Astyanax mexicanus: one gene and its partner. The main gene of each other region encodes a partner of the protein of the gene in region 2 in a complex. Links are inferred from orthologs where the notes say so. Each region holds a gene or a part of one and is shown on either strand. Other genes may lie near its edges.

What was found.
Region 1: surfeit locus protein 1 (region 2) and smim20 share a complex: the UniProt entries of both Homo sapiens proteins name them as parts of the MITRAC (mitochondrial translation regulation assembly intermediate of cytochrome c oxidase complex) complex. The link is inferred for Astyanax mexicanus from reciprocal best matches to the Homo sapiens genes SURF1 and SMIM20.

Annotation. Positions count from the first base shown.
Region 1 is NC_064415.1:23,367,288-23,383,376, forward strand, and holds smim20 (small integral membrane protein 20), read right to left. Parts: upstream 8,283-16,089; 5' UTR 8,221-8,282; coding exon 8,112-8,220; intron 7,078-8,111; coding exon 7,021-7,077; intron 6,882-7,020; coding exon 6,841-6,881; 3' UTR 6,434-6,840; downstream 1-6,433. Other genes in the region: plaa (phospholipase A-2-activating protein), read left to right, coding at 8,852-9,000, 10,238-10,431, 10,613-10,713, 10,845-10,965, 11,121-11,288, 12,046-12,181, 12,311-12,480, 13,103-13,254 and 6 more.
Region 2 is NC_064408.1:16,892,710-16,909,185, forward strand, and holds surfeit locus protein 1, read right to left. Parts: upstream 8,508-16,476; 5' UTR 8,381-8,507; coding exon 8,318-8,380; intron 6,715-8,317; coding exon 6,645-6,714; intron 6,188-6,644; coding exon 6,060-6,187; intron 5,969-6,059; coding exon 5,886-5,968; intron 5,667-5,885; coding exon 5,475-5,666; intron 4,139-5,474; coding exon 4,066-4,138; intron 3,485-4,065; coding exon 3,322-3,484; intron 3,238-3,321; coding exon 3,156-3,237; intron 3,036-3,155; coding exon 2,969-3,035; 3' UTR 2,684-2,968; downstream 1-2,683. Other genes in the region: rpl7a (60S ribosomal protein L7a), read left to right, coding at 107-247, 1,018-1,097, 1,382-1,512, 1,713-1,782, 1,916-2,020; surf6 (surfeit locus protein 6), read left to right, coding at 8,997-9,093, 10,472-10,699, 10,798-10,880, 11,400-12,113. UniProt on the Homo sapiens protein: Component of the MITRAC (mitochondrial translation regulation assembly intermediate of cytochrome c oxidase complex) complex, that regulates cytochrome c oxidase assembly.

The DNA of each region.
Region 1 (16,089 bases), on a different chromosome or scaffold from region 2:
GTTTGAACAATGATTATAAATATATATAATAATAATAAAATGCCTCTCTGGCCAGATTTTGTTTATATTACTCCCCCGTCTCTCTGTCGCGCTCTGCGTTTGGGTCCAGACCCGGACCGCGGGTCCGGAAAGCATGGAAAAATTGGCAAGTAGAGACTTTTAAACATTTTCAATTAACTTAATTTAATCATGGACAGTGATTCCACACATTTAATTTGTGTTTTTAAATTTAAAAAATATCTTTATGGAACTACAAAAAACTCTTTTGTGACAGAACTAACACTCAACTAACACTTCAAAGTAACTTACACAATAACATATGCTTATCAGAGGGTATTTTGGGTGGTATACCTCTACACATGCCTCTACGATGCATTTAAAAACATTTTGCCCAGATGATAGACTTTAACAGGGAGAGCTGTCATTGGGCCGCAAGAAGCACACTGGCCTTTTTTAACAAATTGGCCACCATCTTGGATGTCCATCAGGATGCCACCATCATTTTTCATTACGTCTTTCGTCGTGACAAATCCAGGTTCTTTTCAGGATCCAACACTGGTCAGGTTTGAGTACAGAGGCCATATGGTGAGCATCTAAATCCCAATTCCCAATTACCCCAATTTGTGGTGAGATAAGCTACAAGCAGTGTTGGGAAGTAACGGATTACATGTAACGGCGTTACATAATCAGATTACAAATTATGAGTAACTGTAATCCGTTACAGTTACTGCTTCAGTAAATGGTAATCAGATTACAGTTACTCTGCTAAAATAAATGGATTACATTGCGGTACTTTTCTATTTTTGGTCTTCCAATCCAACACTGACAAAACGCAAACACATTCACATAAATCACGACATCAGAATATTCTGTGATTCACAACCTCCTGCTCAGAATGTTTTCACTGCAGAAGCGCCCCCTAGCCCGTCGGCGGGCCCGTTCTGACTATGTAAAGTTGAATGCTTATAAGCGTCAAATATTCTAAACACACCGACCAAATAACCGACTCATATTCTTTAGTACTAATTTGACTACCTGCATGCAAATTTACAACCATCTACATGAAACCAGTCGCCAGAAATCGCCAACTGAAAACAGCCTGTTTTTTCACATTGTTTACATGGGGAACACGCCTCCCCAACAAAATAGCCTTATAAAATATTATTAGTATATAAAATAACATCATATTACATTATAGAAAATTCACTTACTATCACAGCATCCACAATACAGCACTGAACCGCAGATAAAATATCCATAAAGTCCTTTATTCGCCTGCTCACTTCTCCTCACAAACATGCGTTTATTTTCAGCGGTCCACAAACCACTATTTTTCTTGAGTGATCGTCTTTTGAACCAATAACGTGAGCGCTGGATCAATCCAATCCAATCAAATCAGGTCATAGCCTTTCTCCAGCGTCACAAAAGTGATTGACACCTATTTCAACCAATTTTCCACCCTTAGACGAAAACATTGGTACGTAATTTGCCCTGATTGGTCTCCTAATGGCTGGGGGAGGGGCATGCCTAACCGCTGTCATCAAATTCCCTCTGCTAAACATAAGTGCGCCCACAGCGCGCATACGTGTGATTTTGTTTGTCATTTCATCAAAAAGTATTAATATTACTCTGAAATAGACTTACATTCATTTATTTTATCACAAACAAACAAAAAAATTACAAACTCTGGCTGTATAGAGACAGATTTACTGGAGAGGTTTTGAACACTTTGGAGACGCCTGGTGGACACCTAATATAATGCAGTGTAACTCTTCAATGCATTGTGATATAAATTACAAATTTTGTAATTTGTTTGTCAAGACCCTACTGAATCAGGAAATGTAGAGAATGATTGACTATTCATCACCAACATCCATACACACATTGTTAACTCTAAATATAACAGGCGCTTTTTTTTTTTTACATTTTCTTCTGCATTTGATGTTCTCAAATGGAACTTAAATAATGGAAATTAAAGTGTTGAAGTGAATTATTGTTTACTGTTTATGATTACACTGCATTTGACATTTAATAATAAAACATTCAAATTATATTTTGTTTGCATTTGTGAGTTCTTAGAAAAGGAACAGATTGTAATCGCATTAAATCCTATTGGACCGAACTGTATCGTATAAAGACATAATTTGAGGTATCGTACATTATCGTATCGCTGACTAAAATAATCGTATTGTATCGTATCGTAATGAATCTTGTGATTTACACCCCTAGATAATCCTGGCAAAAAATCCACTTGCAGAAAGTGGCAAACCTGCAAATAGATAGCTTACAGTTGTTGTTACATTGTTTGGTTTTAAATGGTTTTATCATCAATTTATAGAAGTGTTTCATAAAATTGTTTGATGAAATGGTTTCATAAGTATTTTTATAGGGTGATTGAAAAGGCTGTTTTATTTGTCTATCTATTAACTGGAAGGAAAAATAAAACAATAATATGCAAGATGTGGTTGCTACATTCATTCAGGCTTAAAAAAACGACAATATTGTAAGTAATCCAAAGTAATCAGATTACGTTACTCACTTGAAGTAATGTAACTGATTACGTTACAAATTACATTTTGAGTGATGTAATCAGTAATCTGTAAGGGATTACATTTTAAAAGTAACCTTCCCAACACTGGCTACAAGGCCATCACTTACAACAGTCAGTTACCCCTAGTAGTAATATAAGGAAAACTTATAGTTCAGCTATAGGTGCAGGACATTCTGCAGCTATGTGTCAGAACTTTAACATGTAAATGTTTACACACTGTAACCCTTTTCTGTATGTAAAGAATCTGAGCATCTTTGACAACTAGAAGACTACACAGGTCTACACAGGTGAGGGGTTTCTGGTATGCTATGAACAACCTTTATGCACAACTGTATTTCACTGGTTGGTTTAGGCCATAGCCTAAAGGTTAAAGACTCAAACTTGGGAACAGAAGGTTGCCAGTTTGATGCACTGGACTGTCAGGAGCTGGAAGTAGAGGAAGTGAAGAACAGAATTTTTGTTGCATCCTTCAACATTCATAACTGAGGTGCCCAACTGAGGTCTCTGCTCAGTGCTCTGGATACACGTTTTCTGGCTGGGCTAAATGGGGAGATGTAAGTTCTGTTGTACAGCTTGTTGTGCATTGGCTGGAAAGTGTGTTTCTAGTATGCATATGAATATAAATGTGATGATAAATGGCATTACACATTACACAATTCTTGTAAATTTGTATGATACGATCCTTGTAAAATAACTATATAAAATCCAGATGTCAACACTTTTTGTATTACTGATTGTTAAAAAAACACAGCTCAGTTCTCACACTCATACATGTATTCCATACACGTTTGCGTGTTTTTATTTAGGTTTTTCTCACAATTCCTGCTAAATTAGTAAGGAGAAAAAGTGAAAACAAATCCGCAAAGATTTTTATATAAAAATACTTTGCCAATACTTTGAGTACATGCCAGTTTCCTGTTCTAAACAATGACGACTGAAACCCATGGTACCATTTCTTCCATGCAATAAAATGAAGCCAAAATTGTCCACCATTTGTCGAATTTACAATAACTGTCTATGCAGTAAAGACCAGAGGCAGAGCCAGGATTCTTCTACTCAATACAAGAATGTCTCAGAACTAAGCGAAACAGCACAGGGTTAACTGTTGGAGCTAAAGACCAGTGATGTTAAAAAATGAAAAAAAAAAAAAAGTCATGATAAAACCTGTGGGGCTAAGATAAGTCTTACACAGCAATTAGCCAGCAGAGATGCTAAACCTGTGGCAGCTTTATTTTTGAGAAATGCTGTGCGGTCTATATTTTTCTACTGTCACTGGCTCCAAATGTCTGCTAAAAATATTTGTTAAATCATATAACAGCTAAAGGGTTTGAGTGCTACTGACAACATTATTCAATAACATGCACACATAACCTTAATATGTTAACATAAACTTTGATTGAAAACATATCTGCATTAGAAAAATACACTCACAGCCGATATATAGAGCTGCATATCACCTGCATGACAATAAAAATGTATGCTATAAGAATGTTTTCTAATGACTTTTCCCAGTAGGCGCATATATAATATAAACAGTAACGGTCCTAAGATAGAGCCTTGTGGAATTTTAAATATTATGAACCTTTTCAGTTAAATATGATTTAAAGGATGTTAAAGCTGTTCCAATGACTCACACCATGTTCTCTAATCTTGGGGGATGGTGTGGTCTATTGTATCAAAGTATTTACTCAGGTCAAACAACACCAGTAGAGAGACAAAGTCTTGATCAGGGGCAAGAAGCAATCAAACATTTATTATCTTAACAGGAAACTGTCTCAGTGCTTTGATGAGGCCTAAATAATTTTTCATAGATGGGATTATTTTGCAGGTAAGAGCAAGGTTGCTGGGCTACAGCTTTTTCTAACATCTTAGATATAAATGTGGGTCTGAAATAGGTTAAAACATTTTAAAATTAAGATCATTTACATTGAAAACATCTGGATTAGGAGAACACACTTATTTCTAACAATATTTCTGAAAAGCTTAGTGCTTATAAACTTCTGGCGAGCAGTGTGTACAGTTACTGTACATGCCCACACTCAGGCAGCACTTGTACTCGAGTGGGCCAGGCCCTCGGCTACACCGCCACACAGGTGTGGGTGCAGACTGGTTTCCATAGCAACGGGACTTCGGCCCTGGAGCGGCACTTCGGCCCTCGTGTGCTTCTCTCAGGTTACAGATTTTGTTTCGCAACTTTCTGTTGCCAGAAGACTCTTCCAGGACCTGCTGCCAAAATAATAGTAGAAATTTAATCAAGGTGCAGCAGCAGGAAACAGAAGGAAAACTGAGACGAGTGCAAAAGCATCATGGAGTTCAAGTCATGTACACAACTGAGAAGAATCCAGATGTTTCGATGCTTTGCAAAGAAGATTTTTTTTACTGATTAATCCACAACTAACCAGGTTTGAGGTGTTGTTTTTAAGATTTCTGATGTAGACCATCTATCTTATTCTGTGTGACAACAAAGAGGCTGCCATGTGTGTTTTCTTTGTGTTAGAACCTTTGGTGAAGCAGTATTTACTGACAAACATTACAACAACAGCGATAATTAAAGAGGTAAAGAATAAGCAGTTCAAATTTTACAGTAAGAATATACCAAAATTGGTCTAAGGAAGAAAAAAAATCATGGCTGAGGAACTTAACTGAGGTGGCTGCCCAGTGCTCTGAATATGTGTTATGTCATGGATGAACTAAGGCTACGTTTACATTATAAGCGACATTGCTCGAATACGATTTTTTGTCCGATTCTTGACAGTTCCCATTGACAAATGTAAGTGACCTGTATCTGTGTGTAATGTGAATAAATCTATACCTGAAACGCTTCACATGTGCACATCAACAAAAAACGGCATATTAGAGAGACGAACCGTAGCTTAATAAAGGTGTAATGGATCCGTTAGCAGCTCATATGTGGAGCAACTTTTGCTGGAGTGGAGAGTAAACAGCTGGTCTGAAGTACATGCTCAGTTCAAGGTGGAGAAAAAAGGCCAGGCGGTTTGCTTTTGCTGTTTTTGCAGCTATGGCTGCACAGCTGAACCAAGAGATGTGTGGGTACGAGAGAGAAGCACGTAGCGCAGTGTAAAAGCAAAAAGGGGCATTAATACCGATTTGACCGTTCACATTCATGTCGCATGTGCATGGATCGGATACGTATCCGATTTAGGACCACATTTGAAAATGACTCAAATTTGATTTGAGAAAAAAAAAAAAACGGATTTGGCACATTTACACAGCCTTGAAAAAAACGTATCTGAGCCATATTGAGTGTGTTTCTAATAAGCATACAGATATAAATGTGAAGATTAATGGCATTACACAATTATTGTATATTTACAATATACAATTTACATTAAAATCCTCCATTTAAAATGTCCGTAAAAGAAGAAGCCAACACCATAACATCGTAACCCAGAGAAATCGTTTAATTATTAAGCTTCAGTTGGTAAGGTTAATCCTCTAAACACATCTGTGCTTCTGTGCTTGTAGATTAGCTCTTGATTAGTGTCTCTTCTGACATCCTCACAGCACCCATCACATCTGTTTCCCTGGAGCTTAGTCACCACACCTATCCCATCTTTCAGTGTTGTGTTTGAAAGCTACTTAGCTATGCTCTAAATAATAAATAAATATGCTGCAAATAATGTTAAATGGCCTGTTGGAATGTTGGGTTATTAATATTATTAATAAACAAAATATTAAATAGAAAAACATTTTAAATTTCCCATATCTTCATATCATTTGCAATGGAAACCATTCATATAATGCTACACTGTATCTCATGAATAAGTCACTCTGACTGAACGTGACCTATTGGATCTACAAGGCTTTGTGCTCCCCCTAGAGCTCAGCATGCTTCATTACAAACACAAACATACTAGATAGTTCCAAAAATCACATTTTATTTCATTCAGGAATAAATCATTCTATACATTACAACATATGACAATGAATGACACAATATTGTGGCAGGTATTACATATTACTGATTTTTTCCCCCAATGTAACTTTTTCCAGATGATGGCCTTACTCCAGAATTGTACCATTTTTCCTGTAATACACAGGCCAGCTATCAAAGACTGAATGAGTGTTAACGTGTTACAGCCAAGAAAACTAAACAGGGAAAATTAGGAGTCTTCCAGGGAATAAGCTTCTTTCACTCGCTTGCATGTTAAATGGTTCATTCAGTCACACTGAAGTGAGAAGTGCATAATGTCCCAGACATTTGCAATGATGTCTTTATGTTCATGAATCTCTTTTCCCATCTGTTTCTGCTACTGCCTTGCATCACATCATGACTTCGGTTTGAATGGATCTGACCAGACCTTCACTCCTTAAAATAGAGAAATCGCAAAGCATGAAAAGACACATGCCATACATACTGTTTCTCCATCTGTATGTTTCCTAAGCTTTTAGCTTTAGCTACACATAATACAGTACTTGAATGTTTACTGCAGAAGAACCAGACATACCAGCAGGCTGAATATCTGCTTGATTGATTCCAGCTCGGTTGATTTTCTGGATCTCCCCTGTAGAAGTTTAGGATTTAACATTAGACAGAGTGGTTGAGGTCGACCTCACAAAGGTTTGCAAAGGTTCATATCACTGCAATGCTGGGTTAGGATTAATAAACAAGCCTGACATACAGTACCACTCAAACGTTTTGACACACCCCCTTCTCATTTAATGTTTTTTTTTATTATTATTTTTTATTATTATCTAAATTGTAGATTACTAATAAAGAAATCAATACTATAAAGGAACGCATAGGAAAGTAAACAAAAAAGTGTTAAACAACCCAAAATATCATATATGTTTTATACTTTAGATTCTTAAAAGTAGAATGTCTTCACATTATTCTTTCAGGCGTTTTATGAGGTAGAACCTGGAATAAATAAGTTCCTAGAGGTACTAAGCTCTTATTAACTGCTTTTCCGTTACTATTAGCTCCATCTCTTCCCAAACCACCTGGGATGGATTTTTTATGTCAGGTGTTTGTGAAGGCAGAACCCCTTTTTTATCTTCTACCTAACTGCATATAGAGTTCCACATTGTTTTTGAGTCTTTAATACTAATCTACAATGTAGTAAATAATACAAGTAATAAACAAATTGGGGGCTGGGGAAATTTTCAATTCTTAAATGCATCTCGATTCGGACATGGACGATTCTGTATCGATTCACTGAAAACAAAAATCGATTTTCTGTGTCCAAACTTTTGAATTGTACTGTGGATTGATAGATATTGTTTAAATAAAGTTCCCAACAAAAATACATTTATATGTACATATTTACTTAGCTTACATTGTTACTGGCCACGCCATAAAATAAAATACAATAAAATGTAGCTAACTAGATAAAATAAGAGTTCTTAGTTATAGTCATACATGTTTCTATATAATTAGCGGTAGGGAATCTATCTTTCTAATTAAGAACCTTTTAATATATTGACATACGGTTATATGACAGTTGGTTATTAAAGGGTGAGAGCAGTTAGCTAACGTTATTTAACATCACTGGCAAACTAGTTATTCACAGCAAACTAGAAACGCTGATTAACTCACTGTACTCCTCTTTGTGAGAAAGAGGGTGGAAGAATATCGGGTAAAAAGCTGCAGTCACTGCGGTTACGAAGCCCCCGAATATGAGTGTTATTCTCAGGTTTCTCGACATGTCTGGACCTTGAGAAAGACAGAACAGACAGGTAGCTAGCTTAGCTAACCTAACTCTATCCGGGTCAAGTTCAGCACTCGGAAATTAACCCATTCATTGCCAGTAACTGCATTAGCAGCTATTTATTTTAGTATGCGTTCTGATTGGACTTAAACCTAAAAAAAAAATAAATAAATAAAAAAACAAAAACATAATTATTTAAAAATATCTTGTAAAAACAATGGTATTGTTAAATTAACATGTTATTTCTAAAAAGAAGAATAGGTTGTAATACACCATCGGAGGGCGCTCCCAGAGTCAACAATGAAATTGGTTCATATAGAGCTACTGAGCAAATTGATAGTTTATAAACGTTGAATCTTTTTTATACTAAAAATTGTACTTATTTCCTCATCACAGAACAATATCAAATATTTTAGTACAGGGGACTTTTATGTTGTAGTGTCTCTACATCTCTGCTGCGGAGGTCTTTTCTTTTGTAGAGTGTCTCTCGGTCTCTGCTGCCGGGGTCTTTTATTTTGTAGTGTCTCTCCCTCTCTGCTGGACGGGGCCGCTCGTGCTCTCTCAGTTCCGGGGCTGAATGAGTTTTGTTTTTTATCGTGCTGATTTAGCGGAGCTCTGAATTTACACCATGGCCTCTCCCAGCACCTACCGGCTCAGCTGCTCCATCCCGGGCCATGAGATGGATGTTAGGGGCCTTGCCGCCGCGGTTTTCCCTGAGGGAGGTTTCGTCTCCGTGTCGCGGGACCGAAGCGCCAGAGTCTGGGCTCCAAATTTAAGGTAGCCGGTTTAGCCGGCAGGCTACAGCTAACAACAGAGCCCAGCTAGCCTCGCTAACAGTGTTTATAGCAACCAGAGCGGCCGGCCGGGCAGCTCTCAACACTGTAACCATGGTTTAACTAGCTTACGTTACTCCTTCCACTATGATACTATTTTGTGAACGATATATCGTTCCTGAAATTGTTGCGATAAACGGTATTATTCTCAATTTTAGAACATTTAAATGCCACTGACATAATGATAACAGAATAGCTTAACTAATAAATTATAATGTTACAATTTTAAAGACAACCAATTTCTAATTAATCATTGATTGATAACTATATACTTTACCTACTGTAGTCCACACTAAGTGTAGGGAGTCACAGTTATTAAAACATTGCTCATTGCATGACTGGCTAAAACACTGTTCACTGTTATGACCTATATGTGAACAAACATACAAGCCACACAATAGACAATATCACAGTAATCAAATATTGTTCAGGTATTTACTATACAATAAATCGATTATATAATTATCGTGACAGGCCTAGCTTAGATTAATTGATTAAATAATATTGTTAATAAAGAGGCTGGGCTCTGATATAAAAGTTCTTATATTTTGGTAAATGATCATGCACTGATAGAGCTGGGTGATATGGTAATAATATTATATTTTTATATATGATGTACAGTATTAATATTTTGAAACACAGAGTATAGTGATTCTTATTTTATTTTGCTGCACATCATCCAATTAAACAGGATTTTTTATACTCTCTGTAATAAAATGTTGTACTGATGATATCCTCAATATGGTTTAAAAAACTGATCATAATATAAAAAAATATCAGTATATTGTCCAGCTATATTTGTCACAGTACTTTTTGGGACTATATACCATCCAATCAAAAGTAGTTAATTGTGACAGACCTACCCTAAAACGTCTGTAGAAGCCTTGAGCAATTTATTTTATTAAAAAAAAAAACTACAATGACACTTAAAACAGAAGGGATGTCTGAGGTTTCAGTTTTAGATTTTGCTGTTAGTTATGTACGTGGCATATTTGTGAAATGTCACAGTAGATTTGGAATGTGCATGTGCATGCTCATCGGCTTACTGACTCTATATCTATTAATACTGTCTCTCGCTGTTGTTAGTGGAGTGTTTACTTTGAGCAGCGAGCATGTTGCAGGTGTTCACAAGCTATAATTGAAAACGTGTCTTGGTTGCTTTGTATTTTCTTATTCTGTAGTGAAACTAGAGGTTACACGGAGATGCACTGTATGAACGGCCACACGAACTTCGTTTCCTGTGTCTGCATCATCGCCCCCAATGAAACCTACCCCAGGGGCCTTATTGCAACAGGAGGCAATGACAACATTATCTGCGTCTTCTCCTTAGACAGACCGGACCCTATGTTTACTCTGACAGGACACAAAAACACAGGTGTAGTGCTTTATAATACACATAAGTACAGTCCTTCTCATCTTATCATCAAGAAGAGTCAAGGCTGTGATTATTTGATTTTTCTTTTTTAAATAATGGATTAAAAATAATATATTTATAGAGTGACCAAAACCTTTATGGCCACTTATTCATTCCAAGTTTCTAATCCTGCTGTCCACAGTGTGCACACTCTCAGCTGGGAAGTTTGGGACGTTATTGAGTGGATCATGGGACACCACAGCTAAAGTCTGGCTCAGTGACAAGTGTATGATGACTTTACAGGTAATTCTGCCTTAAGAACTGAAGAATTATTTGTTTTTGAATTCTGTTTGCTTGGGAATTCTTTGTCCTGAGCTATTTTAATATGCGTGTGTGTAATGTATGGGTGTGTCTGCTTTTGTTTCTGTATGTAGGGGCATACAGCAGCAGTATGGGCTGTGGTGATTCTGCCAGAGCAGGGACTTATGCTCACAGGATCGGCTGACAAGACTGTTAAACTCTGGAAAGCTGGACGCTGTGAGAGAACATATTCAGGTGAGCCTCATAGACATTTACATTTTCATTTCTTCTGAGCTAGACTGTGTGCTTTTCTTTTTAAATGATCAGATTCAGTTTCGTTTTTTACACGAACCACAAGAGGTCAGTGTTGAGTTGATTGTGTGTGTTTTATTTATTTTTTATTGTTGCAGGTCATGAGGACTGTGTTCGAGGACTAGCTGTAGTGAGCGATGTTGAATTCCTGTCCTGTAGTAATGACGCCAGCATCAGGCGATGGATGGTGACAGGAGAATGTGTTCAAGTATACTACAGTCACACTAACTATATCTACAGTCTGTCTGTCTTTCCAAATGGACAAGGTGAGGATTTTAGTACTTATAGTAGTTTTTTGTTTAATAGAGTTTTTTTCTAAAGAGAGTAATGTGAACAATGGCGAAAATAATATAGTTTTATAGTCTTATATTTACATTTACAAATGGACAGTGGCACTTGTTATTAGAAAAATAATAAAAAGTCAAATGACTTTCCTAATCCCTAATAACATTTAGAGTATCTGCCGAGTCACGATCCAATACTTTAGAAATGCAGTAAAAAAACAAAACAAAACAAAAAAACACATCCAAGTGGTCCGTTAAGGTCTATTTAATAAATTGTATTTGCAATTGTTATTGAAACTGTATCCAAAAATACCATTTTATTACAAAAATGTGTTTGTGAAAGTCTTATATTGTACTAGGAAAAATAAGAGGAGAATGAAACGTGGATAAAAAATAGTTGATGGATCGATAAGTTTGCTGGCTTAGTGTTCATGCTAGCATACTCGAAAACAGGTGATACACATCACATACCCGCTTTCCTAGCCTACCAGCGTCCTAATCACTCCGCCTGAAGGGTACACCCACTCAGAAATCTGATACATCAGTCATCCGGAACTTTTTCACTCAATTCCGACCCTTTGAAATTATGTTATCGATCCTGATTTCCGATCACATGATTGGATCAGGGACATCTCTAACTGTCAGTTAATTTGAATGATTAGTAAATAATTGTATTAAAATATGAATTCATGACAAAGCTTCTTCTCTCTCTCTCTCTCTCTCTCTCTCTCTCTCTCAGACTTCGTAAGCACAGGAGAGGACCGCACAGTAAGGATCTGGAAAAATGGTGAATGTGCTCAGACAATCCGTCTACCTACCCAGTCAGTCTGGTGTTGCTGTGTTTTACCTAATGGAGACATCGCTGTAGGAGCCAGGTACACAAATGATCTACATTGTGTTTTCACTTACAAAATCAGCTGTACTCAAACATTTCAGACAGTTGATTATTATTGAAAACTAGTGTAGACACTTATTAATTACATTGATTTGCGAACTGTTCACAGTGATGGCATCATCCGTGTGTTCACTGAGAAAGATGAGCGTGTAGCGAGTGCTCAAGACCTGCAGGCTTTCGAAGATGAACTTTCTAAAGCTACTATTGATCCCAAGACTGGAGATTTGGGAGATATCAAGCCTGAGGAACTACCTGGAAGAGAACACTTAGATGAACCAGGTAAAAAAAGACTGGAATCTTTTAAACCCTGTCCTGGTGTTTAAGAAAAACATTTAAACATTTGAAAGCTTCCCACATGTTGTGTTAGACTTGCAATCAGCAGATTTTGTGCCTTCTGCAAATACCATGCATAAATGAAAAAATTCTATGGACTTTAGAACTCAACCTATGAACATGCCTTTACCCGGGCTACAGGTGTAGGTGATACAAAACTCTGCAGTAAAAAAAAAAAAAAAAAAAAAAAAAAACTTATTTACATTCTGAAAATTTGAGGATTTTGAAATCTCCTACAGGAAAGTATTGATTTCAGGAAAGAGCAAATTTTAGGATTTTATTCATTATATTTTGACAGTTGCAGATTTACTTAAATATTATACATTCTATTACAATTACAATTATAATTTTCAGTAATGTTCCTTATCAAACGTTCAGGATTTAGGGGTGTATTGTTATGCAGAAAATTGACAAAAATTCTGGCCTGTTAAGGGTTTGATTTTCCAAAATTATTAGGTATTGAAGCTCAGTAGAGTGTTGACATTTGAAAACCTGCCTATACATTACATTATTCTGTGAATCTCTTGAGCAGTTGACTTATATGTTGTGTTTGTGTTTTTGCGCATAGGCAATAGAGATGGTCAAACACGACTCATAAAGGAAGGTAATAACGTGGAGGCGTACCAGTGGAGCATGAGTGAGGGACGCTGGATGAAGATTGGAGACGTGGTGGGAGGGTCATCCAAGGACAGCTCTAAAAGAGTAATGTATGAGGGCAAGGTAAGAAACCATGCTGAAGCCTATTTAAAGTAGCGCATACAAGGAGTGCACAATATATCAATATATCTTTTCAACAACATCTATGCAAAGTGGATACACACACTAGTGATATCGCAGGATGTGTAATGTCATGTAATACAAGTTAATTCAGTGTAACAGCTTTTTTTTTGCTGCTTGATTCAAAAGAAAACACCACGGAGTAGATCTACCCAATATAATTAATTTTACTCCAATCTTGGGTAAACATGAAAAAAATGTAACGCAGAAAAAGACAGTTTTTCCCCAACACCATTTTTAACACCAGTTGGGTGTTTAGTGTTCAAATTGTGTTTTACAATAAAAACAGACTAAACTGCATAAAATGCTTTAAACATGCACATTAATACCTTTCACTGTTACTCTTCAGGAATACGATTTTGTTTTTACCATCGATGTGAATGAGGGTGGGCCCTCAATGAAACTGCCATATAATGTGGCTGATGACCCCTGGCTGGCAGCACACAACTTCCTACAAAAGAATGATCTGAACCCCATGTTTCTGGACCAAGTGGCTAATTTCATCATTGAGAACACCAAAGGCCACACCCTAGGGCCAGCTCCTGCCTCTGCTGTAGATCCTTTTACAGGCAAGTAGCCTAGTGGTATTGACCCCATTTACATATGGTCACTTATTGAGACTGGTATCTGCATTGTATCTTGATAAGATTTTAGTAACATGCTAAAAATGATCATGCTTGGCATCCAAATGCATCTCCAGTTAGTCTATCTCACATCTGTTGTATCAGGTGTAAATAAGGTCAATAATCTTGTCTTAGACTGGAAGGATTTTGATGGTTTCTGTAGATGTTTGTAGTTGAACTTCACTTTTAACTTCTTCTATATCCTTTCCAGGTTCAGGAAGGTATATCCCTGGGGCAGCAGATGAAAGACCAGGCTTTGGTGCTGACCCCTTTACTGGTAAGGATACACAGTGATCATACTCCATCATCCAAATTAAAACAGTGTATTGTGATTAAATGTGCTAAAAACTTTGGTAGGTGCTGGGCGATACATACCTGGATCAGGATCCACAGGAACAACACCTGCAGGTGTAGCTGATCCCTTTACAGGTATAACCACATACCACAATGTACACACTGAGATAAAGTTACTCACCTACTCATTTACATAAAACACAAATTGATATGTTTCCTGTGTGTATCTCCGTTAGGTAGAAACGCCTACTCTTCTGCTGCTCTCCAGAAGTCTGTCACAAATATTTACTTCCCCAAGATGGATGGCGTTTTTTTTGAGCAGGCCAATCCTACACAGATTTTCGGTAAGTCTAGTGACCCCTACTCAATTAGCATGAATTAAATGCATAATTTATTTTTTAAATAATTATAATTTGCACTGCTCATTTATTGTTCCTTCTAAAATCAAGGATAATATTATTAAAGTCTAAAAAAGGCTTCCTATAGATACTATAGATTCTGGAGCCTTGCTGTGAGAACTTGATTGCATTCAGCAACAAGATCTTTTGTAAGGCCAGGGTGTTATATGATGTCCACTCCACTTCATCTGCAACTCCTTCCACATGTATTGGTGATTTGGTATTGATTGAAAAAAACTACTAAAAATAAAACAAAAACCCCAAAGCTAATGAATAAATAATTAATAAATAAATATATATAATATATGAGTAATTATAACGTAACAAGCTTTTGTACATAAGGTCAGTTTCACAAGCAGGGGTTAAGTCTAGTCATTGACCATAATTTTTCCTATTTTTTTCCTTTTAGTTTAAAATGCTGCTTAGTCCAAGCCTAAACTTAAGCTCTGTCTGGGGAAACTACTCCTTAAACAAATTTAATAAAGTGTAGCAATATTTGTACAGTCTTAAATGTTACATTTCTGCATTGTCTGAAGTTTGTCCCGTGTTCTTAATACCTTGTGTGCATTCACATTAGCTAAGCTGCGTGAGCTGAATGGCAGTGCTCCAGAGGACCACAGACTAAACGACACGGTGCTGAGCAACCTGGAAAAGCTACTGCTCTCCATTTCAGACTGTAAGAGCCCAGATCAGCCCACAGCAGATCAGATCAGCATACTCTGGAGGACCAGCCACTGGCCTGAAGGTAGAGCTCAGACACAAAGCAATAGTGTGCGTGGACTGTGTGATATTTAATTACTAAATTTTATGTTGTAACTGTCCACAGATATTGTTTTCCCTGTGCTGGACATCCTCCGCCTAGCAGTGCGGCACCCTGAGGTCAACGCTCAGCTTTGTGGAGGTACAGAGGGAGCCAGTCTATGCAACCTCCTGCTGGGCCTCATGTCACCTCAGGGCCGACCAGCTAACCAAATGCTGGCCCTCCGCACCTTCTGCAACTGCTTCTCTGGATCCCACGGTCGCTCTCTCCTCCTGAGCCAACGTGAAGCCGTGCTGTCCCGGGCAGCCGACCTCCGTTCTGTCTGCAACAAAAACATCCACGTAGCTCTCGCCACGCTGGTGCTCAACTACGCGGGTATACTGCACGGCCGACCGTCCGAGATCGAAGCCAAAGCCCAGTGCTTGTCTGTTGCTAGTAGTGCTCTAGAGGTGGTGCAGGACAAGGAGGCTGTCTTCAGGCTGCTGGTTGCACTCGGGACTACAGTGGCTGGAGACAGCACAGCCAAAGACCTGGCACGCTCGCTGGGCGTCAACTCTCAGATCACAAAGTACGCCGGCGTGTCTGACCCGGCTAAAGTAGGCGAGTGCTGTCGACTAGTGATGGATGAACTGCAGTGATTATTACTCTAAAGAACTGAGCTGAGCGCTTTCAAAGACCTCACAAAAGTCGGCAAACATCTCCC
Region 2 (16,476 bases):
CCAAGATCACTGATGCACTTATCAATATTATATTTCAAATGTAAATTTGTACTGTAATTAGTTTTAATTTACCGCACTTTTGCTAACTAGTTATGTCATTCTCCAGCCACCCAGCTGTTCAAACTGGCTCACAAGTACAGACCCGAGACCAAGCAGGAGAAGAAGCGCAGGCTGCTGGCTCGTGCTGAACAGAAGGCTGCTGGAAAAGGAGATGCACCAACCAAGAGACCCCCTGTTCTTCGTGCAGGTAAGGCATTCAATACATTTTGTTTCTGTGGCGTCCACTATAAACGATACTATACACTAAGGTCAGCCTTGCTGATGAATAGCAAAGAAAAAAACAAACCACGATGCAGTGTAACTAGCTGGAGCATTTAGAATATACTTCTATTCCAAATTAAGAATGCAGTTTACATGCCAGTAAGATGTGAATTTGGTGTCTGAAAGTAATGCTATCTAAGTTGGTAGGCCAAGTGAGCAATTAACTATAGCTGGTAACCTGGCTAACTGGTCACGATGTGCCAGGGCACTGCTTGTCTTATAGTCAACATAATTGATATTTTCCATGTAAAGCGTAGCTTAAGAAGGTTTCTTAGGGAAAGCCTTCTCACATGTTTACTGTGGATGTTCTTGCAATGATGTGTTGAATTTCTTCACCTGAAATTTTGTGTGGATCAAAATTCGAGCTTTTTAAACCTGAGCAAGAGCTATGTTTCCACAGTAACACTGATCAGAACTAAGGATGCACTGATCAAATGACCAAAAAGCATTCAGCTATATAAATAGGGATGGGTAGATGGCACTCTTTCTCCACATCACTCCTAGTGTGGTGGTTAAAGCAGCGGTCTTTTAGCTAATGTGTCGGAGCTGCATTGTGACACTTTCCTTACCATGCTGGCTACCCAGTGATTGTCCTGGAAATTGATGTGTGTTCACCTAATATTTACTTATTTTGTCTTTTTAATGTATGTTTCTAAATTATGCATCTACTGATTTTGATTGTTTTTTTTCTGCCAGGTGTGAACTCTGTGACCTCACTGGTCGAGAGCAAGAAGGCCCAGCTGGTTGTGATCGCACACGATGTGGACCCAATTGAGGTGAGTGTGCCATTTTTTTTTTTTGTTGAAAGGTCCAGGAACATTTTATTGTTAATCTAGGTTGTCTGTTTAGCTGTTAATCATGTGGTTGTCTGCTATGATGCTTTTGAATTTCTTCACCTGAAATATATGAAGACACAACATTTTAACCCTGAGCAACAGCCACAATATTATTGCATGATTTGAAGCAGATTAGATTTTACATGTTGGAGGTAAAAGGTGGCGAATTGCTTTGGGTTGGCATCTATCTAATTCTTTTATTTTATTTTTTCCTCCTTTTTTAGCTGGTGGTGTTCCTCCCTGCTCTTTGCCGCAAGATGGGTGTCCCTTACTGCATCATCAAGGGCAAGGCCAGGCTGGGAAGACTGGTGCACAGGAAGACATGCACCAGTGTCTGCTTCACACAGACCAACCCGTGAGTACTGTTGTTTTTTAATGAAGTCCATGTATAGAGTGAACAAACAGCCTCCTCTCTGCAATGATGTCTGAATTTCTTCACCTGAACAACCATGTGGTTTCAAATGAGCTTTTTAACCCTGAGCAAAGAGGTTTTCTTTTGGTTGTTGTGTTTGAACACCAAAGGATCTGAAATTAATGGTTTTCTTTACTTTCTAGTGAGGACAGAGCTGCTCTCGCCAAACTGGTGGAGGCCATCAAGACCAACTACAATGACAGATATGAGGAGGTCAGTTAACTCTTCAATATTGTACTTCTGAACTGTTCCATCTTTTTCAAAGATGGCACTATTGTCACTCTAAAATGGTATTTACTTTTGTGTGCTTTTAGTAATTTCTAATTCTAATGCTCTTTTCTTGTAGATCCGTCGCCACTGGGGAGGCAACATCATGGGTCCCAAGTCTACTGCTCGCTTTGCTAAGCTGGAGAAGACAAAGGCCAAGGAGCTGGCTGCCAAGCTGGGCTAAACTCCTACCACACGTCTGTTTATGTAAAAAAATAAATAATAAAAACCCTAAATTTTGTTTTATGCCTCTTTACTGGGTGGGATGAGATTTAACAGATTGTGAACTTTAATTGCATATTTGTTGGAACTATGTTAGAAGCTTCTGATTTTAATTTAAGAATCAAATCCCACATGATGGGCCATATTCTGTTAAACAGGAAGCTTTATTGGGTTAATTTATATTTATATTATATTATATTTTGCACATTAGTACAGTATAAAGCTATGCAGTAAATTGGTATAAGTGAACTACCATGTGATTTCTCTTTTGGGAGTTACTGATCAAGTAATGTACATTACATACATTTTCATAATTTGCTTTACTAATACTTTTTTTTTTTCTCTCAAGGTAGAAGTAATAAACCGCAAGCTCAAGATATACTAGTGACAATATGGCTATTGTCACTAGAATATCCCCTGGCCCCCTTTTAAGGCTACTGCTAAGACTTACAATGTAAAGTTCATAGAATACAGAAACTTTGCATATACGGATCATACACAGTGGGGAATGAGCAATATATGAAAGTCACAATAGAGATCTTTTACTTTACATTTCTAGATTTCACTAAAATGATGAATGCAGTTTTCCAGACCCTTAAATTGTCAGGACAAGATTTTAGACTGCTTGGAAAATGTCAACATTTATTGTAGAAAATGCAACCCAAAGAATGCACAGCAGAGCTGTTCTATTACAGCCATTTACTACAGGTCGCTGTTCAGCTATGCAAACAGTACCTAAAATACACTCCACATTTATGGTTGTGTTAATTTTAAATAAGCCTTTCTACATATTTGCATAAACTTGTAGTTACAAATCACTTGGCTGTTCATTACCAACTTCTCAATCAATTTGTGAGGGATACGTTTGCATATCTGTCATAAAACCTTTGGATGCAGTGCTCAGTTGCTTTCATATATGGATGCGTTTGATGAATTTTGTATACCACATGTATGAAGTAGCTGTACAAAGTCCATACCTAGAAAAGACAGGAGATTGAGAGCATCAGTGAAATATACATTCATACTGGTGTCAGAAAGGAACAAGTAATGATGACATATGGAATTAAATCACATAAAATGTCAGTGCTTTGACTCACCACGTAAGGATATACTGCATGTGTTCGTTTCGCAGGGTTACTCTTGTCTGGCCTCCTATTGGTCCTCCTGGTATTGTGCTCTCTGCATCACAAATTCACATTTATTTATTATCAGCACATATTTATAATTTATCAGCATTTCATAACAATAAAATAAAAAACTCACCTAGCACAACATCAAGAAATATTTCCTCAGCACCAGTGACCTTAGCCATAGCCTCCAAATCACGGTAGAACCATCGGTTTGCCTCCACATTGTTCTGAGGGACGAATGGTTTCCGTTGCTCCGTCAAGCGAACAACACCTACCAGTTCCACCTCTTCTGTCACCTTACAGACAAAGTTATTATACAAATTTAAAACCACTCCAGTATAAAAAGTGATGATGCACAAGGTAAAGCAAAATGCCATTTCTAAAATTGTTGTCATCAGTAAAAACAATGCACTAAAATGGTATAAAATATAATAGTACCAATGTTGATCTAATGATAATCAACTAAAGATTAGATTTTTAAATATTAGTGATGTGCAAATATCTGATATTTGCAAGAAAATCTTATAGTTTATTAAAAAAAAAACTAATAAAACCATATTGTAATATTTTGTCACATTTGGTTTGCCAGAAGGCATATTTCAGCCATTTTACTTAATATACTAAATAAAGATATCAACTGTAGAATGTGGTTGTGTCTTTTTAGTTTAAATCATGCATGTCTATAATTGTGACATAGATAAAAGCCTGATTACACAGTAATAGTTATAACCAATGCAGGTATAGTAATAACTGTATGCTGAGGTCAATGCTGATACTGATGCACACACATTTAAAGTATGGAGAAAAAAATAAATAAAAAAGATGACTTTGTATAAAAGCCCAGCTTTTCAGCAGCATAAGAAAAAGAAGCATTTACCTGACCCTTCATTCGGGTGTCGGGACTTATTTTCTTTTTGGGGACATAACCTCTGTTCACCAAGATCTTAATCCTGAGAGGGGAAAACAATGAGATTTACATTTTATATGATATACTATTGTGTCTGTCCTAAAGAGACTTCAAGACTTGACCCTTATTACTTAATCTCCATCTGTTGCAGCAGGATTAATGCTGTCATAGATGTATTTGCTTATTCCTAAAAGATGTAGTCACTTCTAATCAGTGATGGCAAAGTTACTTTGAAAAAGTAATCTGTTTACTCCTTTAAAAAGTAACTTAATTACATTTAAAATCAAGTAATCCATAAATTAACTAAGCTACTTACAAGTTAAGCACAGCCCTGCCGCCTCAACATATCAGTTTTGCCAAAACTCGTTTTGCTCCACCTTTGGGACTTTTTCTGTAAGTGTGCTGCTGCGACTTCAAATGTTTAATCAAATTTGACGTGTTTTTGAAGCTAGGTAGCACAGAGTGAACAACCAAGCTTGATATTGATTCATTTTAGCTGATATAAACTCAGAATAGTGTTTGTATTTCCAGCTACAAAACGTGCAACTCTCTCCTCACTTCAGTTAGCAGTGTTCTCAAGTCTCGCGCTTTGAGCGTGTGACACACGCACCTCAGCGAGTTCACACGCTCATACGCCACACATGGTATTTCTCACGCTTGCCAATCCATCCAGTATATTATAATGTACTCTTGTTGAGCCAATCAGAATATAGGTTGCTCTGTTGTTTTTGCTAGGCAGACCTAGTCAAAGAGGGTGGAGTTTCAGCCAGAGTGTGAAGAACTGTCTGATTCGAAAGTTCTGAAACACACGTCGGTGAACAACTGAAGTAGAACGGCGGCAACACCGCCCACTGCGCACACTGTGTTCAGCACTAGGGCTAGTTTTAGCCTGTTAGCTTGTTAGATCGCTAGCCTTTTGTTAGTTCCAGCAATGAACGTCGACTGCAAATCTTTCTCGTCCATCCTTTTAACACATTCAGCCAGATGCTACAATATCTTTTTACTAAGGAAAATGACAAAAACGTAGCGCACAGTGACTTGGGTACGTAACTTTAATCCTATTACCTGATAAGAAATAGCAAAGCGTTAGATTACTCGTTACTGAAACAAATGGTCAGATTACAGTAACAGGTTATTAACATCACTGCTTATAATAGACATCACTGGGTACTTGCACAATACTATGATTTCTCCTATAAGTACTGTCTGTGCTAAACTCGCTATATGCTAACATTTAGGTTGAAACTGCTGGCAAAGACTTTAAAATCTTGTGCATGTTGGTTTATTAGTGGGGTTACTTGTGTTACTTGTAAATGTATGTATTTAAGGCAAAAATGTCAATACAGGTTTATGCTGTATGTCTGTGTGTTTGTACACACCCAAGGTCTGTGCAGTTGAAAGGTGTGATGACGTTAGCTCCAGTCTCTCCACTGGAGGACAGCCTTCCTGCCTCGCGGGCCTCTCTCTCAGGGTCCACTGGAGAACGGGGCAGGATGTACAGCTCTTGAGAGTGATCAAACCTGCCACGCACCTTCACACGCCTGTACTCCAGATCCTTTAGCTCCATAGGACTGTCACATGATCACAAACAAACACAGGCTACATCAATACATTAATAATACAATCAAATATCCGTCATCACTGCCACTCTGGGACTATTCTAAAATAGGTAATCATTTTTTATGTGACTTTCTTTGTACCAAAAAATGTATGCACTATTACTAAGTGACTGACTCTCCAACTACATTGTCTACACCTATAGTATGGCATGGGCCAAAGAGGACACTCACTCCGTGGGCAGTGGAATCGGATCTGCTGTCGTTAATTTCTGGAGATCTTCAATCAACTTCAACTTCCACTGCCTGCGCTTCACCTACAAATATACATAAATACACATTCAAAAATGCAGTTTAAATATCTGAGCAACCACCATTTTAATCATGGTAAACAGCAGCTGAGCGTACCTGCCATGTTCCCAGGCCGAAGGTGGTCACAGGGATCAGCAGCAGCAGCCATTTCAGCAAGGAATCCTCACTCTTTTCTGCCTGTGCCGCATCCACACTGGTCTGTCTACTCACGTTAACAGGTTTAACTGTGAAACCCAACAGAAGATGAACAGACAGCTACTGCAGTGTTCATGAATATTACAGTTAATCTTTAGTATGTGTTGAAACACTGGTGATTCTTCTCTAGTAGTAAATGCATTTACTACAAAACAAAAAAGCATTAAACCAAGTATATGGATGCTGTAAAATACACTACTCATCCTGTCAATCAGAAGTATTGTCTCATTGCTTTTAAACATTAAGTGTAATTATAAGCTGTCCACCTTAATTTAGCAGACATGGCACACTTGTCAAAAGAAGCAGCAGAATCATAACAAAGAGTATAAATATTTTAGCACATAATATCAATATCAAATCAAGTGAAGTTTATTTGCATAGTAACTTTTTGCAACTGCTCACAAAGCAGTTTGTAGAGAAATCTACAAGTAATAGGACAAGAGATTAATAATTCATAAAACATAATATATAAAACAATATTCTTACCATTCTCACGTTTGAGCAAGACTTGCCTTGATTTATCGAAAATATTTCTCTTGGAAATGACAGTCTGAGTCTAGAAAAAGACAAAACAATCTGATTTACAAATACTGACAAAAGCAAATAATATACACTGACTAAAATGAGTGAAGAACAATTATTGCAAGCAATATTCTGATTCCAATATTAACTGGCCTTTGTCTTCAAATCCCACAGGCTAGTAAACAATACATTTTCTAAAATTAACTCTTATTCATTTTAAATTTTTGATTGCAATATAAACCTAAATAAAACAAATACAGTACCAGTCAAAAATGTGGACAAACCTCTTCTCATTTGATGTGTTTTCTTTCATTTTATAATTTTATTTACATTGTAAATTTAATATTGAAGACATTAAAGCTATACAGGAACACATGGAATTGTCTTGTAAACAAAAAGTGTTAAATAAACCAGGGTATGTTTTATACTTCTTCGATTCTAAGTAGACATATTCAGCTTGAGGACAGATCTGCGCACACAGTTTTCTCTGCATCTTGAAGGAGTTTCTGTTGGTTCTGAACAATAGTTGCTGCTTTTCCTTCAAACTGTAAAGCTCCAGCTCAGTTGGGTTTAGGTCAGGGGATTGTGAAGGACAAACACTTCTTTTGTTCACAACAGTGTAGAAAACATTGAATCAGAAGGTGTGTCCAAGCTTTTGACTGGTACTGTACTTTCAGTGCCTAAATGATTTACATTAATGATTTATTGAAATGATTTACAATAAGCAGCATAACTGTATTAAAGTATTTTCTGGTATTCTAAACTCAGCACCTGCACAAACTAACGAGACTGTCCAACAACTGCTGACTGCAGGATATTTCTGAACAGAATCTCAACACAAGCCAGAGCTAGTTTGTGCTTTTCCTGCGGTATAATTTTTCACATCCCTCTATCCCTCTGTTCTTACACCAGTGGTAACTAGCTTTATAATAATTATTATTATTATACGCTGCCTGGCCAAAAAAAAGTTGTCACTAAAAAAAGGACTCTGTGGTGAACAATCCATGTGTGAAAATGATGATCTCATGCTCCCTGAATCACTCTTTCACAATTCCAGCCCATGAATCCTGACATTTTCATCTTGGAATATGCTCGTGTCATCAGGAAAGAAAAAAAACATTGATGGAATAACCTGGTCTATATTCAGTATATTCAGGTAGTCAGCTGGCCTTATTCTTTCAGCACATACTGTTGCTGAACCTAGACCTGCAGACCAACTGCAGCAATTGAACCCCACATCATTTGCACATCTTTTTTTCAGCTTCATCCTATTCTGGTCTGCTTGGCCAGGCTTTTCCTTAAAGTAGTAGGAAATTAATTAATTACACTAGAATTGCAAATTTATTTGGAATGAATAAGTGATGGAACATATAGTATAGAAGATTAAATTGAATGACATGTTGTATATTTACAATGTTAGTAAACAGATATTCTGCTTTCCTTCATTAGTTAGTTATCTCCTTCAGTAATAGTGTATTAGACTTTTAAATAATATATGTGCATGTTCCCTTTAATTCAGTGAAGCGGTAGTAACGTTAGCAGCGAATAAGAAAAAAACTTCAGCCTCTCTGTCTTTAAACTGGAATAGTGTTTTATTATCAGTAAATAATGTTTATAAATGTGAAACAGAAACTTACATTAATCCGGATGATCCTGCGAGCGTGACTACAGAACATGAGCATGTATTTAAGGCCACTCATGTTCAGGAGAAATGTCTAAACTGAGAGTTATGCTGGATTATATCTATCTGTTTGGTGTCAGTAGTAAACAGGTCAAACCGCCTGCATAACATGTTCTCCACAGAGCGGCAGGCGAGGGGACGAGTTTCACTGTAACACCATCCGGAGACAGGCGTGTGCGGTTGCGCATGCGCGGTGTGAAACACATGGGCAGGAGGAGCTGTTGAGTTAGAGCAGTTGTTGTTGCAGAAACGCTGTTTTTAATGTTCAGATCGAGCGCAGATTAAGAATTCCGACCGTTTGAGTGAAAGAAGAAGGAGAAGTAGAAGAGGAAATGTGTGGCAAATCCTTTCTAATTATTCCCTCAGTGAGAAACTAGTTTAATAGCTGCCAGTAACTGCTGTGGGATATTGTGGGATAGTTAACCTAGCTGAGCTTGGCTTTGTGGAAGGTAAGTTGATCTTAGTAACTTAAATAAACATTAATCCAACGCTCTGCTCTTACTTTGTAGGGTCTCTGTGTTTAAGAAATATTATACAGTCATCTGTTTTCAACGTGTAATGTTAACCTAGCTAAGTGTGATCACACGTGGCTGATTGCATGATTGTGTTGTGTATTTTGTCCAGTTGCTGCAAAGATGTCCTCAAGCCTTGCAGCCAAGTACGACTACCTGGAGAAGCTGACTCGAAAAGTGTGCCATTCCCAGACCGAACAGACCAGACAGAGACCCTATGGTACGCTTCTATTCTTGTTTTGCAGTATGTGGTATGTGGTCATATATATACTCTAAAAATTCACAGCTCTGCATATTTGTGTGTTGTGCCTGCTTTAAATCACTAGTAGGAAGCAGGGAAACACACTGCCATAGAAAAATCACCTTTTTGTTTCCTAAAGAACTATGGGCTTTATGGGCAGTCATACACTGGCTACACTGGCTGTCATAAGTGGTTAGTGCAGTGCAGTGCATAATACCACTAACTTCCAGTAAGCTACCTACCACATTGTCTGGGAGACTGGGGTTCAATTCCCAGTCTGGGTGACTAAATGCTGTTCTACACCAATAAGAGTCTGGAACAAGACTCCTAACTTCTGCATTGGCCCACCTCTGTAATAGGAATAACCTTGTAAGTCGCTCTGGATAAAAGCATCAGCTAAATGCCGCAAATGTACATTTTAGAGCTTGATCATGCAGATTCATGATCTGTTTTTAATTAGTTTATATAATTAGTAAGTTCATAAACCTAAATATTTTGGACTTCCCATCTTTTTTTCCACATATCTCATTCACCAGCCATTCTTAAGAAGAAATGTCTTAAAAATGACTTATCCAGCTTCTATCAAAATACTTATAATTATCTCTAATAGCAATATTAAGCTGTTGTTAAATTTATCATTACTGTTATGCAAACCATGCACCTTCAAAATCTTAACATTCAATGGAAGTAAATATAAAAAAAACATTACTAATTATTTTGAAGAATGTTGTTGGTCTATTAAATAGGACATTGTAACACAATGTAATTTGCTTGATTGACTGTGATATACATACGTTAGTGTTTTAGAACTTTGATCTCTCAAGGTAACAACAAACATTTACATGTAGTTCCAACAGTGACTAGAAAACAAGGTTAGACTGGTTGTGGTAAGAAGGCAGTTGTCAATTTTTCTCCTCTATAATGTTTTTCCATCTCAACTGTCCTGCTATATTGTAAGAAGACAGGGTTATACATTAAGAAATAAAATGTTTGGCATTCTTGTCTGGAAGAGATCTGTCTAAAGTCGTAGCTGAAGTCAAAAATACCTTATTCTGTTAAAACATTTTTGTAACAAACTGGGTAGCCATTGAAAAAAATGGTCTGACTCTAACTTTGCTCTCTCTAACTGCTTTCTAATGCACCCTGGTTGCAAAGACAGGCAATTTTGGCTTTATTTCTGTAGAACAGAAGGGAAGAATGCACAGCATTCAGGTTGTCTGCAGTTGTTGTTTCTTGAGTATATTTAACGAAAAAAAATTAGAACAGTTAAGTGAATTAAGAGTCAAGCTTTATTTTCCAGCTGTTATTAATTATTCATTATTAATTTATTATTCATTCCTCTGTTATTTATTTTCAGTTCCATTTCGTGCTCGTAGTGGTGGTGACGAAGATGGTGACAGTGGGCCACCTAAGAAGAAACAAAAGAAGAAACAGAAGCAGATCAAAGGAAATAATGTAAACACAAATGATAAAAAGCCAGCCCCAAAGACCATCCAAAAAGCAGCACAGAAACAGCCCATCACAGAACAGAAAGCTCCTCAGGCCAGAGTTCAGAATGGGAATCAAGCCCAGAAGAAGACACATGGTAAGTCAAAAGTGTGAATTTGAATTGATCCAGAATTATTTCTGAAGCATAACAGAATTCCAGTATCTTTATTAACACATTTTCTTTAATTCCTCAAGGCACAAAATCAGAAGGCGAGTTTAATGCAGTGGATATTTTAAGGAAAAGACTTCATCAGAAGATTGAGGAGTCTCGTGGGCAGGTACCAAAATAAACACACAAACCCCCTAATGAATTTGTAGGACATGATGATGTTTTGCTTAAACTCACTTTGTTAGTTTTTTCAAACAGATTAGAATTTACCTTATTAAAGAGGATTTAATATGCAGAATTAGGAAATGTTTTATTAATGATTGTAAGCACAAGCTGTGCGTTTACACATTTTTTTATGTCATCAGCCCAAATATGAGCAGATCATGAGTGTGAACAGCTTTCAATTATCTTTAGTAAAGTAAAGTTTACTTTTTGCTCAATCAAAACAGACTACAACACAGCTGTCAAGTAGGCAGGGTTTAAGCACAACACTAAATGAACCAATGTCTGCCTCCATTCTTTACATTAATTAATGATGAAGAAATTCTGTTGTTTTGAGCATTTATACTGTATAGAAATGCAAAATACTGGGATTTCTTACACCCCTAATTTTCCAGTACTCTGGTATAAATAACTTGTATCTTTTGCTTATTGTAAGCCTCTTAAGTCTCTTATTTTCTCACTTTAGGGTCCACCCAAGGACCCTTCCTCAGAAGAGGTGCAGAAAAGACGAGCGAAACGGAAACAGGAGAGAGAGCGCAAAAAGCGGAAAAGGAAAGAGTTCCGTATGAAAGCGTTGGCGCAGAGTTCTACCACTGAGATAAAAGAGGAAAGCGAACCGGTGGAGATAACCACACCTCAGTCTGAACCTGCTGAATCCAAATCTGACAAGAAGGACACAAGCACCTTGGTCTTCAACAAGGTGGAGGTTGAGGATGATTATGTGGATAAAGGGACCAAGATGAGGGAGAAGAAGAAGAAAAGGAAAGTGAAAGGAACCCTCACTCCCCTCATAGGGAAGAACTACAAACAGCTGTTAACCCGAGTAGAGGCCAGGAAGGCCCGTCTGGAGGAGCTGCGGGAGAAGGATGAAGGGAAAGCAAAGAAGGAAGAAGAGAAGATGAAGTGGACCAACGTTCTCTACAAGGCTGAGGGGATGAAGATCAAAGATGATGAACAGCTTCTACGGGCTTCGCTGAAGAGGAAAGAGAAGATGAAGACCCAGAGGAAGAAAAAGTGGGTGGAGAGGAGCGAGAATGTGCTGGAGAAGATGCAGCAGAGACAGGACAAGAGACGCAGGAACATTCAGAAACGCAAAGACAATAAAATGGAGAAGCGGCAACAGAGAGCCAGGAAGAAGGGCAGAGTGCTGCCTCAGGATCTGAAAAAGGCTGCTCTGTAGAGATTGATATAATGGAGAAATTGGACACGTATGGACAGAGATTGAATAAATTCAGGAGCGTACTTAGAAAAGGATAAAACTATAAAGAGCATGAATCAGAACGGTGATGGTGACTTGAACAGAACAGTACAAATGGTTCCAAACAGTTCAGGAATCTTAACTTCTAATGATTGATTTATACTTCTGTCTTCTGCAAGTTAGCACAGAGTCTACTGTGTAGTTGTGAGCGTTTATACATGTGCATAGGTCTGTCTGCAACACTCTACAATGTTCAGCTGAGCAATTACAATTGCTGTATTCTGCTGTTTCTTGGGAGGTGCATGTCCAACTACAACATAGGCTATTTGTAGGATATACAAAAGGTGTGTAGTGTTGAAAATAAATTGGTCTATACTTTTACTAAGGTGTGCTATGTCTCTGTACAATTAAATGCAGTAAAGTAAATAATGGAAAACCCGTTTGCCCTATTTATTGCACAGCTGCTGTTTATTTGCTTAATTTAGAGCACAATGGTAAATGTATAATGAAGTGCTGAATGTACAAAGTTTACAGTACATTTCATGTTGTATGTAATTCTTGTTCACTCTATCTAAAATCAACAGGACATTTTAGTAAACTTAATATTATATACATTACAGTGTCGGCTCAAATTAAACCATTTAAAATGTTTAAATGGCTATTAGCCTGATTAAAATGTTATTCTCATAGGTGGGAATAGACACTTTTGTATAAGATATTTCATGGACTCTTTTAAAGAAAGAATTGCTGTTGTGTATTCTGAAAGTATTTGTATTTTTTAATGTACTATACAATACATTGTTTTTATAATACTAATTATATTGCAAGTTTATCATTTTTTTAATCTTGAATATGAATCTAAAAATGACTTCTTCCACAGACAGTGATATCTTTTTGTTTTGTAAGGATAAGTAAAACATTTACGGGTGCATCTAAAAAACATTTTTACTTTATTTTAGTAATTCAGTTCTAAATGTGAAACATATTATATAGTTGTATTACACACAAAGTGATCTATTTTAAGCATTTATTTCTTTTATTGTTAATCATGGCTTACAGAAAATTAAAATATTATGTAAGACCAATTGGTACTTTTGGCAGTGTGCCAAATCCTGCTGGAAAATGAAATCCGCATCTCCATAGAAGTTGTCAGCAGAGGAAATCATAAAGTGCTGTAAGATTTTCTGGGAAAACACTGCACTGACTTTAGACTTGATATAACACAGTGGGCCAACCCTAGCAGATGACCTCTCCAAACCATCACTGATTGGTGGAAACTTCACACTAGACCTCAAGCAGCTTAGACTGTGTGTCTCTCCATTCTTCCTCCAGCCTCTGGGCTCTTGATTTACAAATTAATGCTAATTAATTATGCTAAATTTACTGATGATCAGTGATGGTTTGGAGCGACATGTCATCTGCTGGTGTTGGTTCACTGTGTTTTATTATCAAGTCTAAAGTCAGTACAGTGTTTTCCCAGAAAATCTTACAGCACTTCATGCTTCCCACTGCTGACAACTTTTATGGAGATATGTATTTTATTTTCCAGCAGGACTTGGCACACTGCCAAAAGTTCCATTTGGTCTTATATAATATTCTAATTTTCAGGGCCCAGTTTCCCAAAAGTATTTTGGCATTAAGAACATCTTAACATAGTGCTTAGGGTGAAGTTTAAGAATCATCTTAGTGCTAGGAACTTTTTTTGAAAACCCCAGTTTATTTAAGTAACTGAGGAAAGAATCTGATGCCTCCTTTGTCTTCCAGAATAAAGCTCAGTAAGCATTATTTTATTCTTTCTGTTTAGAGATGTGAAGAAACGCTGAATGCAGCAGTGTTTAATCATTTTATACAAACAAATGTGCTAATGTGTCTCAACACAGGACTGTCAGTACCAAAGACATCATTTATAAACCTGACCAACCAGTAAGCTCAGTAACTAGTAATGCTAGCTTAAAATCCCTTTACTGAAGAAAAGTAGAAATATATAGATATGATTACTTTGCCTTTTTTTTTTTTTTTTTTTTACAAAATACATTATTCTATTGTCCAACAATTAATTAATAATTGGCTGTTGGATATTATATTTTATTTGAGGTTTTAGTCCTTTAGCCTCCTTCACCCCCATTCATTTTGGACTTACTCGCGGGCTCCCTCCAGCGGTTTTAGTCGTTATAGATATTAGGGCAAGGGTTAAGTAGTGGACGGGCTCTCCATAAACCAGCTCTGGCTCTACCGCATAGATACGTTTACTCCGCCTCTACAGGCAGATCTGCGTCCAAATCCAAATACTGCGATGGCAAAGAACCTTTAGAGAGGAGATTACCCACTTAAGAACCTTTCAGAGGGCGTTCCTGAGTAAGCTCAAAATGAATGTGTTCATATGGAGCAATTGAACAAAATTAGTTTATACTTGTTTAGTAATTTATTAATAGAACATGTATTCACTGTTTGAACACAGAACAAGGTCCAGTGTTTTAACACTGTAGTATTTGTTTTTAAAGCTTTTAAATTCTTTTTATAAGCCTTTTAAGCATGCTTAAGTAGTAAAATGCTGTATCTGCATCTACTTGAGTATTATTTTTACTCTATTACTGTACTTAAGTACTAAAATGCTGTATCTATATCTACTGGATTATTATTTTTACTTCACTACTGTACTTAAGTACTAAAATGCTGTATCTGTATCTACTGGAGCATTATTTTTACTTCACTACTGTACTGAAGTACTAAAATGTTGTATTTTATCTACTGGAGTATAATTTTTTCTCCTACTTCCATTTTTAGTTCACTACATATTTACCATAAGTTTAAGAATTTTACTCTGATATATTTTTATGTGCTGCATTGTTACTTGTTATAATTATAAAAATGATAGGAATTATTCCAAATCCACATTATTACTAAAGCCAGAGTGGTATATGTTCGGCACTGTCACTGGGTTTGATAAAGCTCCTTATCATTGAGTAAATCAAGAGATCAAGCTGTTCTTATAAGAAGACCTTGCTGCTCTCATTCTGCCTTTATCACGGCTAACTTTCCACTGCTTTCTGTAATAACTACACTAATATCACAGTACTGTACTTTTACTGTCAGTACTTAAGTATTACATTTTACAATAACCAATTTGCTATACGTAGATAGAAAAATTACCCAATCTTACAAACCTTTTCACTGTTTGTTTGACCACCAGAAGGCGCTCCAGAGAGAGTCAAAAATGAATGGATTCATATTGAGCAACTAACGAAAATCATAGTTTATAAATGTTTAATATTTTCATTATAGAAAATGTATTTACTTTTTTAACACAGAACAATAGCAAATGCTATAGCGCCGCATTATTCTTGTTTAAACCTCCAGTTATAAGCCTTTTAAACATGATCTAGCTGTTACCCTACACGTTTTTAGCGAAATACTTCAATATACTTTCTAAAAGTAATGTCATATTATTATATATTAAGTTACTGTTTTTAATTTGGGATTTTAGCCGTTTAGCTCCGTTTGCACCCATTCATTTAGGACTCACTTTCGGGCTCCCTCTAGCGGTAAGCAGTCATTTCTGATATAAAGTGGACAGGCTCTCTATAACCGGTGTTCTGTCGAGTTATGCTTCCCGTCGATACGTGCTTTCTAAAGGCACTGCGCATGCGCTGACCTACACTTTTTAATTATTTCTCATAGTTTTTGAAAATATTTTTAACAATAAATCTGTTACAACCTGGACTCACTGTCATTGCATAAAAAGTGTAAATGGAAATTAATAATAATAAAAACAATAATTAATATTAAATAAAATACAGAAGCAGTTTGTGAAGACCTCTCATTGCCATAACGTTACAGTTACGTTGCCATTACAGATACAGTTCAAATATGCTAACCTACATCTACTGGGAACTCTACTGGGAGCATGCTGTAAAATTGTGCTTGGTTTGTATTTTTACAGTTAAATGAACACAATAGTATTTAATAGTATTTAATAAATAAAATAAGTAAAAATACAAAATAGCACCATATTTTGCACCATATTAGAAAATACTCCCAGCAGAAGCCTAGGTATGATATGTGGATAGGCTAAATCTCAGTAAAAGTAAAGTAAAGTAAAGTAAAAAGATATGGCTATATATGTGACTATATTCCTTATTTTTTATAGTTTACTATTTTTAAACTTTACATTGGTATTTGTAGCTGCTATGTACAGTTTTTTTATATTCGAGCAGGATAATTAATGCTTCCAATAAAAACTTAAGGAATTATCATGAAAAACATGGAAAAACATTACCTAAAAAAAATTGTTGGTCGGCGCATGCGCATTGCCGTGAAGAAGCACTTATCGATGGGTAGCATAGCT